Arabidopsis thaliana: one gene and its partner. The protein of the gene in region 2 interacts with the protein of the main gene of each other region in a pairwise test. Each region holds a gene or a part of one and is shown on either strand. Other genes may lie near its edges.

What was found.
Region 1: the proteins of EIF3G1 (region 2) and AT1G63480 interact in a two-hybrid assay, tested with the Arabidopsis thaliana proteins (one large-scale study listed by BioGRID).

The regions. Positions count from the first base shown.
Region 1 is NC_003070.9:23,540,380-23,544,304, forward strand, and holds the start of AT1G63480 (AT hook motif DNA-binding family protein), read right to left. Parts: upstream 1,855-3,925; 5' UTR 1,307-1,854; coding exon 862-1,306; intron 455-861; coding exon 387-454; intron 302-386; coding exon 170-301; intron 88-169; coding exon 1-87. UniProt on the Arabidopsis thaliana protein: Transcription factor that specifically binds AT-rich DNA sequences related to the nuclear matrix attachment regions (MARs).
Region 2 is NC_003074.8:3,576,747-3,580,671, forward strand, and holds EIF3G1 (eukaryotic translation initiation factor 3G1), read left to right. Parts: upstream 1-1,641; 5' UTR 1,642-1,789; coding exon 1,790-2,126; intron 2,127-2,414; coding exon 2,415-2,443; intron 2,444-2,504; coding exon 2,505-2,556; exon of another isoform or gene 2,557-2,563; intron 2,564-3,072; coding exon 3,073-3,620; 3' UTR 3,621-3,823; downstream 3,824-3,925. Other genes in the region: PRA1.A3 (prenylated RAB acceptor 1.A3), read left to right, coding at 412-498, 574-662, 757-828, 916-1,019.

The DNA of each region.
Region 1 (3,925 bases), on a different chromosome or scaffold from region 2:
GACACTCAATCCGCCTGTTCGACTTCTGGATCCACCTTCTTCATTCACCAAATAAGATCCACCAAAACTTATAATCTCAAAAGGTCCCTAAGAAACACAGAAAGAGGATTAAATAAGAAATCTTTTCAGGTTTTTCTTTTTCGATTAACTGAATGAACGACTTTGAAACCTCGTATGTTAAGTGACGATCGGTTGAACCGGGTTTGCACAGAGTGACTGAAGAAATGGTTCCAGTGCCTGACATTATACAAAGAGCCCGAGGTCTTTGTTGTGAAAATGACAAAACTTTCGCAGCAATGTCCTGCAAAGAAAAATAAAAGGAAATTGATACAATGAAAAGCTGCATAAATGATCATTAATATATAAAGGAGTTTTGGTCAGTTTACTTCTCCTGCTCCAATGCTGATCACATGAGGTGCAAAAGCAAGTCCAGCTGAAGTATTCATCCACTCACCTAAAGAAATTATCAGAGTCAAGAGTTTGCTATTACTTAAAGTTTGATTAATCACATTATGATGACCAATTACTTAAACATGAATGGATTAGTAAGATTACTCTTTCACAGCTTAAAAACCTAAATCAATAACTTAAATCAAGAAGTCGATTTCGTCCACATCTACTAATAACCAATTACTCCTCTCACCTAGCATTGTACCACACATAGATCCGTCAAACTAATAGCCAACAATCAATATTGAGTATCAGTAACGACAAAGTAACAAAACCTAACTTAACTATAGAATCATTCAAAGCTTCTAGCATCCATAAGATTCAAGCTCATGTCCTTCAAGACTAGCTAACAGAGCTAAAGCAAAAACTTAACTTGACAAAGTACACAGAATAGAAAACTCGAGATCTCACCAAGATTAGCCAAGCGTTGCTTCCTTCCAGTTCCAGGAGGTCGACCTCTGGCCCGTTTAGGTTCATTAGGATCAGACATTGGAGAAGAGTCCCTAGACTTATTACTAACCATCGGTTCTCCATACTTTCTTGGCCGTCCACGTTTCCTCTTAACCATCGGTTCCTCTGGTGGTGGCGGTGGCGGTGGCGGTTGCACATCAGCATCAGAAGCAGAGGAGACCACTCCCATGTGAATGGTGTGTCCAAAATCCGAGAAAGGAGGTCCTGGATTGTTAGCCTGAGGGTGATGAATGTTAGGGTTAGACATTGGCCTCAATCCCGTATGTGGCGGCGGCGCGTGAAGCCCACTCGCGACTTGGGAAGGTGCGAGATTAGTAAAGGCTCCTCTTTGAAGATAGTACTGAGAATGCGAGCCTGGAAATGCCATTGCTTCTCTTCCGTCCATGCATTAAAAACTCCAAAATTACAAGTCTTTAACAGAAATAAGAGATTTTTAAATTGATTAACAAAAAAAGGAAACAAATTTATCTAATCTAATACCCAGAAATCATAAACCCTAATTCCCAAAAGTAGTAAAGAGAACAACAATGGCGGTTTTAAAATTACCCAGTAATCAAAGTCGGGTTATTTATACTGTGAGCTCAAAATCCAATTTGTTCTTATGAACCCTAAAAAAAAAAAGCTAAAATCTGAGTTCACTTATAGAACTCGAAAAAGTACGATTGCAGATTTGAAATTAAGAAAACAGAGGAAAGTAGCTTCTCCTACTGTTACAGTCTTGCAGAGAAAAAAATCAAATCTCCCCCTAAGAGAAAAGCTAGATTTGATTGAGAGAAATCTAGGGTTTCTGAGAAGGAGAACACAATGTATATCAGAGGAGAGACAAAGGAAGAAGACAGATGAGACAATTCAGGGAGAAGAAGAGAAAAAGAGAGAGAGAGAGAGAGAGAGAGAGAGAGAGAGAGAGAGAGAGAGAGAGAGAGAGAGAGAGAGAGAGAGACTAACAGTTTAATGATTCTGATTTATACTTTTAATATTGTGAACTTTTGAATTGAGAGAGGTCTTTCTCTGAAAGTTAGAAGAAAACTAAAGAAGCTGAACGAGAGTGACGACCATTGTTTTTCGTATTTATATATCTCTTTAATTGATTTGTTATTTAATTTTGTGAAAGATAAATTCAATTGAGAGAAAGATTATTATGAAAGATTTAAGCATAGTTTGTTTAAGAATATTTGTTTAAGAATATTTAATGTATTAGTTTGTTTAAGAATATTTAATGTATTAGTTTGTTTAAGAATAGTTTATTTAAAGTATTAGTTTGTTTAAGAATATTTGTTTTTAATAAAAAGGATAGACTTTCTTTGATGATTATTACAAATCTAATATCTCGTTAGATCTTTGACTGAAACCGAAATTTATTAGTCATTGAGAGACAATTATGTGCTTTATTCTCATAAACATTGCTACCAATAAAGATTTAAAAAAAAAATCTTTTCTAACATATTCTAAAGAAAACAGTTGACATTTTAGATTATTATATCATGTAATATATTATTTCTTCTGTGACACACTTTTTCCGTTTTTATATGGAATCATGTTTAGTGGGTAAAATATGTATGCAAAATTTGAAGATAAATTCAATATATATATATGAAAAGTATAATAATGTTTCTAAAGAAACTAAAAAAATAAAGTGAAAATAAAAAGAGAAAAATGTACAAACCTTTTAAAATAATCAAAAATATATTATTCTTGCTAGAAAAAAGAAAAAACTACAACATGATTATTTCAATTTTGGAGCTATTTTAGTGGCTTTACAAACTTTCTACACCTCAACTAATCATGTCTATATATCTTCAATAGTTATCTGTAATTTTTTTTGGTCAACTGCTCTATAATATATTTATAATTTATTTTTAATTAGTATAGATAATTATAAGATTATTTCAAAATATATCTAAAAATTTTAGGTTTTCTTATAAATATATAATCTTGAAATTTCATTCAGTTACACTTTGACAAGAGGCAAGACTAGTATGAAATGACTTCATATCATCTTAATTCAAATTAAGATTTTAAAAGAACAAAAAAAATCAAATCTTGTTGTAAAAAGTTTGATCTTGATTAGAAATATCCAAATATGAGAGAGATGTGTTGTTGACTAAAGGATAGGAAAGAGAATGGGGACACACTTGAATCTCTTCTCTCTCACATGTCTAACTCACTTTGCTATTTCTTTCTTTGCTTCGGACAGTGAGCCCTCTCTCCTAACTTTATTTGTTTTCCATTTTTATATTCCCCTTTTTCTCTTTTACTTTTTATCTAAAATTCTTTTTTTTTATTTTCTTTTAAAAGTTTTGAAAGTGATTTATTAATATATATATATATATATATACGTACATATATTTTGTTTCCACCTAATTTGAAAGTTTGTATGATGCATTTAATATCCGGTGGCTAAAGTACCCGACCAAAAAATCCAAATAGTCAAAATTTGGTGCTAGATATAAATAAAAGTTTTCTAGAGATATATCATATATTATATATTTTGGGTTTAATTAGATTTGTTTTGCTACTCCATTATGAATAATCTTTACATTAATTTGTTTTGTTTAATGTCAACAATATTACATTTGCACACATTTGACTTTTGACAATAAAATAAAGAGTTTTGACTTTCCTTCTTTCACTTTTTGTTTTGCCAACTTTTTACCTAAAGTAATGTGACTTGTCTTTTTTTACTTAGAAATTTCATGATAGGAAAAATTTGAGGCCGACCATTACTGAACTTATACAATATTTTACTTGTTCTTCTTACATAAATAGCTATAAACATACACAAATCAGTCCATTTCATCTACATGTAACATTAATAACTTTAATAAATAAACAAGATATGGACAGTGTGAAATTCACAATAAATGTACTAGATAGATTTTCAAAAATGGAAGAAGAGTGTTGAAGGAAGCTTTCAGCTTGAGGATGGTGTCTCAAAAGGTACAATAAGGCTCTGTTTCTATGAAAGTCCCTTACTTATTACTTCACAACACATATACACACATTA
Region 2 (3,925 bases):
GCATCTATAGAATGTTTAGGAGGAGGTTCTCTATCTATATTCAGTGATTCCTTAAAGTGTCTGTGCTTAGCGTTTAGATTCAATAAGGTTCTCTTGATGGTATATAAAACTCGAGTGTTGCAAAGTTCTCTATTTTCAATGATTAGCCCTTAAAATGTCTGTGCGTAGTACTAAATTCAATAGTTTATGGCGTTAATTCTGTAAACATGAGGGATTTAAGGTTCCTCTATCATGAGTATTGTCAGTGTAAAACCCTTGATGTGTCTGTGCTTAGTATGAAATTCAATATGTAATGGTGTTGTTTCTTAAAACTTGAGTGTTTTAAGTTTCTCTATTTTCAGTGATTTGCATGGTTGGTTTTTACTTTACTCATTGATTTGATGGCGCTAAGGTTTTTCTTGTCTTTTGCAGTTTTGCAGCTACTTTTAATGAGAAGATGATCCGGACCATTAGGCATTTCTCGCCACATTTAGCTGCAAAGATGAGGCCTCCCCACATGTGAGTAATTTTTTATTCCCATGGAAGAGTTACAGATGGTTTTTGTTATTTACTACTTGAGTGAACACCTTGCAGGCCTGTCATTCGTGGGCGATCTGCAACTAGAAAGACAGTCTACATTTGTGGCCAACCACGTTTGGTATTCGTCTTACTTGGCTTAACCGGTACTTATTATCTCTTTATCATATAATCTCTCTCACCTATTGGTATGCAACTTCTCTGTGAACTGATGCAAAATATATGATTTTCCTTATGTAGCCAGTTTTGTCCTGTGGTTTACTTCATGTGGTTTGTTATGGGTCCTCTATGCACTTACCACTGCCCTTCTCAGTAAGCTATCCTTGCTTTCATCTCTTTCTCTGTTTTTTTGGGTCCAGTTTCCATCCTTTTGACTTGTAATTTTTCTCTCTCCCTTAGTGATACTTCTTCATGCAAGCCTGAGAACTCCAAACCTCAAGGCCCGCTTGAACACATTCCGTGAAGAATTCAGGGCTGTCTGGCGTAACTACAGCGAACTTTAAAGTCAACATAAAGCATTGATTCGATCTTATTGCAAACCAACCCGGGACATCACAGGGGTTTCGAGGAAAGACATGAACTCCAATTCCTTCATCATGTGCACAAACAATCGCAGTTATTCTTGTCTTCCAGTAGTAAGCTAGTAAATTATAAGGCCACTGGTCTGGTTACAGATGCGGCTCTTTGTTCTAGTTAGTTGACTAGAACTACAAGGCAGAATATAGTGTTGTTTTCTTAAGGTTCTTTGTATACTCTTTCAGTCTATAAAGTGTGTAAGTGATTCAGTTTTACAAAATCTTTCATTGGCTTTTTCTACGTATAGTTTTTGGATTTGAGATAGAACAGTACAGTGCTTTATCAATTGTGTTTTAAAATTTTGGTAGACAAAACGCCAAAACATGTGGGCTTCGCTTGTGGAATCAGTAGTTCTTTTAAAAGAAGAATCAATCCTGTAAATAAGTGTTATAACGAAAAGCCCAAAAAACATAAGAGAGTCTAAATTAATTCCTAGAAGAGGGTAAGAGGCTTAGTGGAGCGGGCCTGGACACAGCTTTTTGTAGATATTAGAATTTTAAAAATTGAATTTCTTCACATTAAAATTGCTACTGGACCAAGTAAAATTCTGAAGGAATCAAAACGGTGCGTTCCGGTTACGGAGCACACACAGATAAGATAGGAAACCCTAAAAGTGCTTCTTCTTCTTCGTCTTCTTCTTCAGTTTTAGGTTACGATCGAAGCAAAAGCGGCGCATCTGAATCCCAAACGAGTGACGATGACGATCGATTCGCAGCAAAAAACGAGCAAATTCAGATGGGGGGAAATGGACGAAGACGAAGATCTGGATTTCTTGCTCCCTCCCAAGCAGGTGATTGGTCCAGATGAGAATGGTTTGAAGACGACGATCGAGTACAAATTCAACGATGAAGAAAATAAGGTTAAGATAACGACTAGGACACGTGTCCGCAAGCTAGCTTCTGCTCGACTCAACAAACGAGCCATGGAGAGGAGGAACTGGCCTAAGTTCGGAGACGCAGCCAATGAGGAAGCTGGTAGCCATCTCACTATGGTTTCTACCGAAGAGATCCTTCTCGAACGACCCCGAGCTCCTGGTAAATTCTCTCCCTCTGATGATGATGATGATTCTGGTGATTTTTGTTTGTTGAGATTCGTGGGGTTATTGGTTCGTATTGAATTTGGAGTTAAAATTATAAATTTGTGCACTTTGATCTAATTGAGTTGGTAAAATGTTCAGTCTTATGGCTGTGCTAATTGTGTGAATAAGTTTCTAGACTCACCTAGAAAGATGTTGTTTGTGATATGTTCTAACTTGGGATTGCTGTCCAATTCATTGTTTGATTCATTAGTTTTATTGTTTAGTCTAATACTATTGGGTTAAGGTGACCAATTAGCGAATCACATGTTAGCCGTGAGGCTACTTGTTTGTGTGATTGGTCAGTATGTCACCGATAGCAGTTTATTGTTTGTAGTCCATTCCTGAGTACGAGCTGAAATGTGCTCTCACTTTTGTGGCTGCTAACTGTACACATAGATGTTGCAGCTTTTCATTGGTCTCCTACTTGATGTTAGGAAGCTTTAGTTTCGATTGTTAAAGCTTTTCTCCTGTGACATGTTGTCTCCCATTTGATGTTTGGAAGCTTTAGTTTCGATTGTTAAAAATTTTGTCCTGTGACATGTTGTCTCCTTTTGTGTTATTACCTTGATGAAAAAATTAGATTGATGTAGGAGTCACCATGATCTTGTGTTTCAATGAACCAATGTCAAATGGTTTGTAAACGGGCAAAGTTTAAGTTCCTTGATAATGTTACTAGGGCTTTCGTGATCAATCTATTGATAGGTGAATGACTAGTTGTATAGATAGCCATCAAAGATGATGTTAATCAGTGGCTTATAGTGCAGACATAGGTTGCTATGTTTGATTCTGTGGCTATGCATTACTGTATCATTTTAAAGTTGACTATGAGTTGGCCATTGGTTCACAACTATCTTTCATTCTTTGTGTAATTGTGTGTATCTTAACGGTGTGTGATACTTCAGGTACCAAAGCGGATGAATCAAAGGCAACAGGAGATGGCTTGTCTCAGCTGGGTAAAGGTGGTGCAGTTCTCATGGTGTGCAGGATATGCCACAAGAAAGGAGATCACTGGACATCAAAATGTCCATACAAGGATCTAGCTGCACCAACCGATGTCTTCATTGACAAGCCACCCACAGGGGAATCATCTACCATGTCTGCTGCACCTGGAACTGGCAAGGCCGCGTATGTCCCGCCTAGCATGAGAGCAGGTGCAGACAGAAGCGCTGTGGGTTCAGACATGAGGAGGAGGAACGATGAGAACTCTGTGCGTGTAACCAATCTGTCCGAGGATACCCGTGAACCTGACTTGATGGAGCTGTTCCACCCGTTTGGAGCTGTCACACGTGTCTATGTGGCCATTGATCAGAAAACTGGAGTGAGCAGAGGATTTGGTTTCGTCAATTTCGTGAGCAGAGAAGACGCTCAAAGAGCAATCAACAAATTGAATGGTTATGGTTATGATAACCTCATCCTCAGGGTTGAATGGGCAACTCCAAGACCAACCTAGAAAGAAATGTCTGATGTTGAGACCTTAAAACTCTTCTCATTCTCGTCTTTCTTGTTATGGATTTTTGTTTATCGACCAGTTTGTTTGTTGGTTTGGTTTCTGTATGAATAGATGAGAATTTGTTCAATTTCTCTTTAATACATAAGGCATGCTTTTTAAAAAATGGATTTGTGTGATACGTAAGAGTTTTCCAACACTTTTTTCATTGATGTCTAAAATTATTTGTGATGTTTGTTTAACATTCCCCGTTTCACAAAAATATTGTTTGACTTTTACTTTTTCGTTCTAAGATATCAATCAAAATA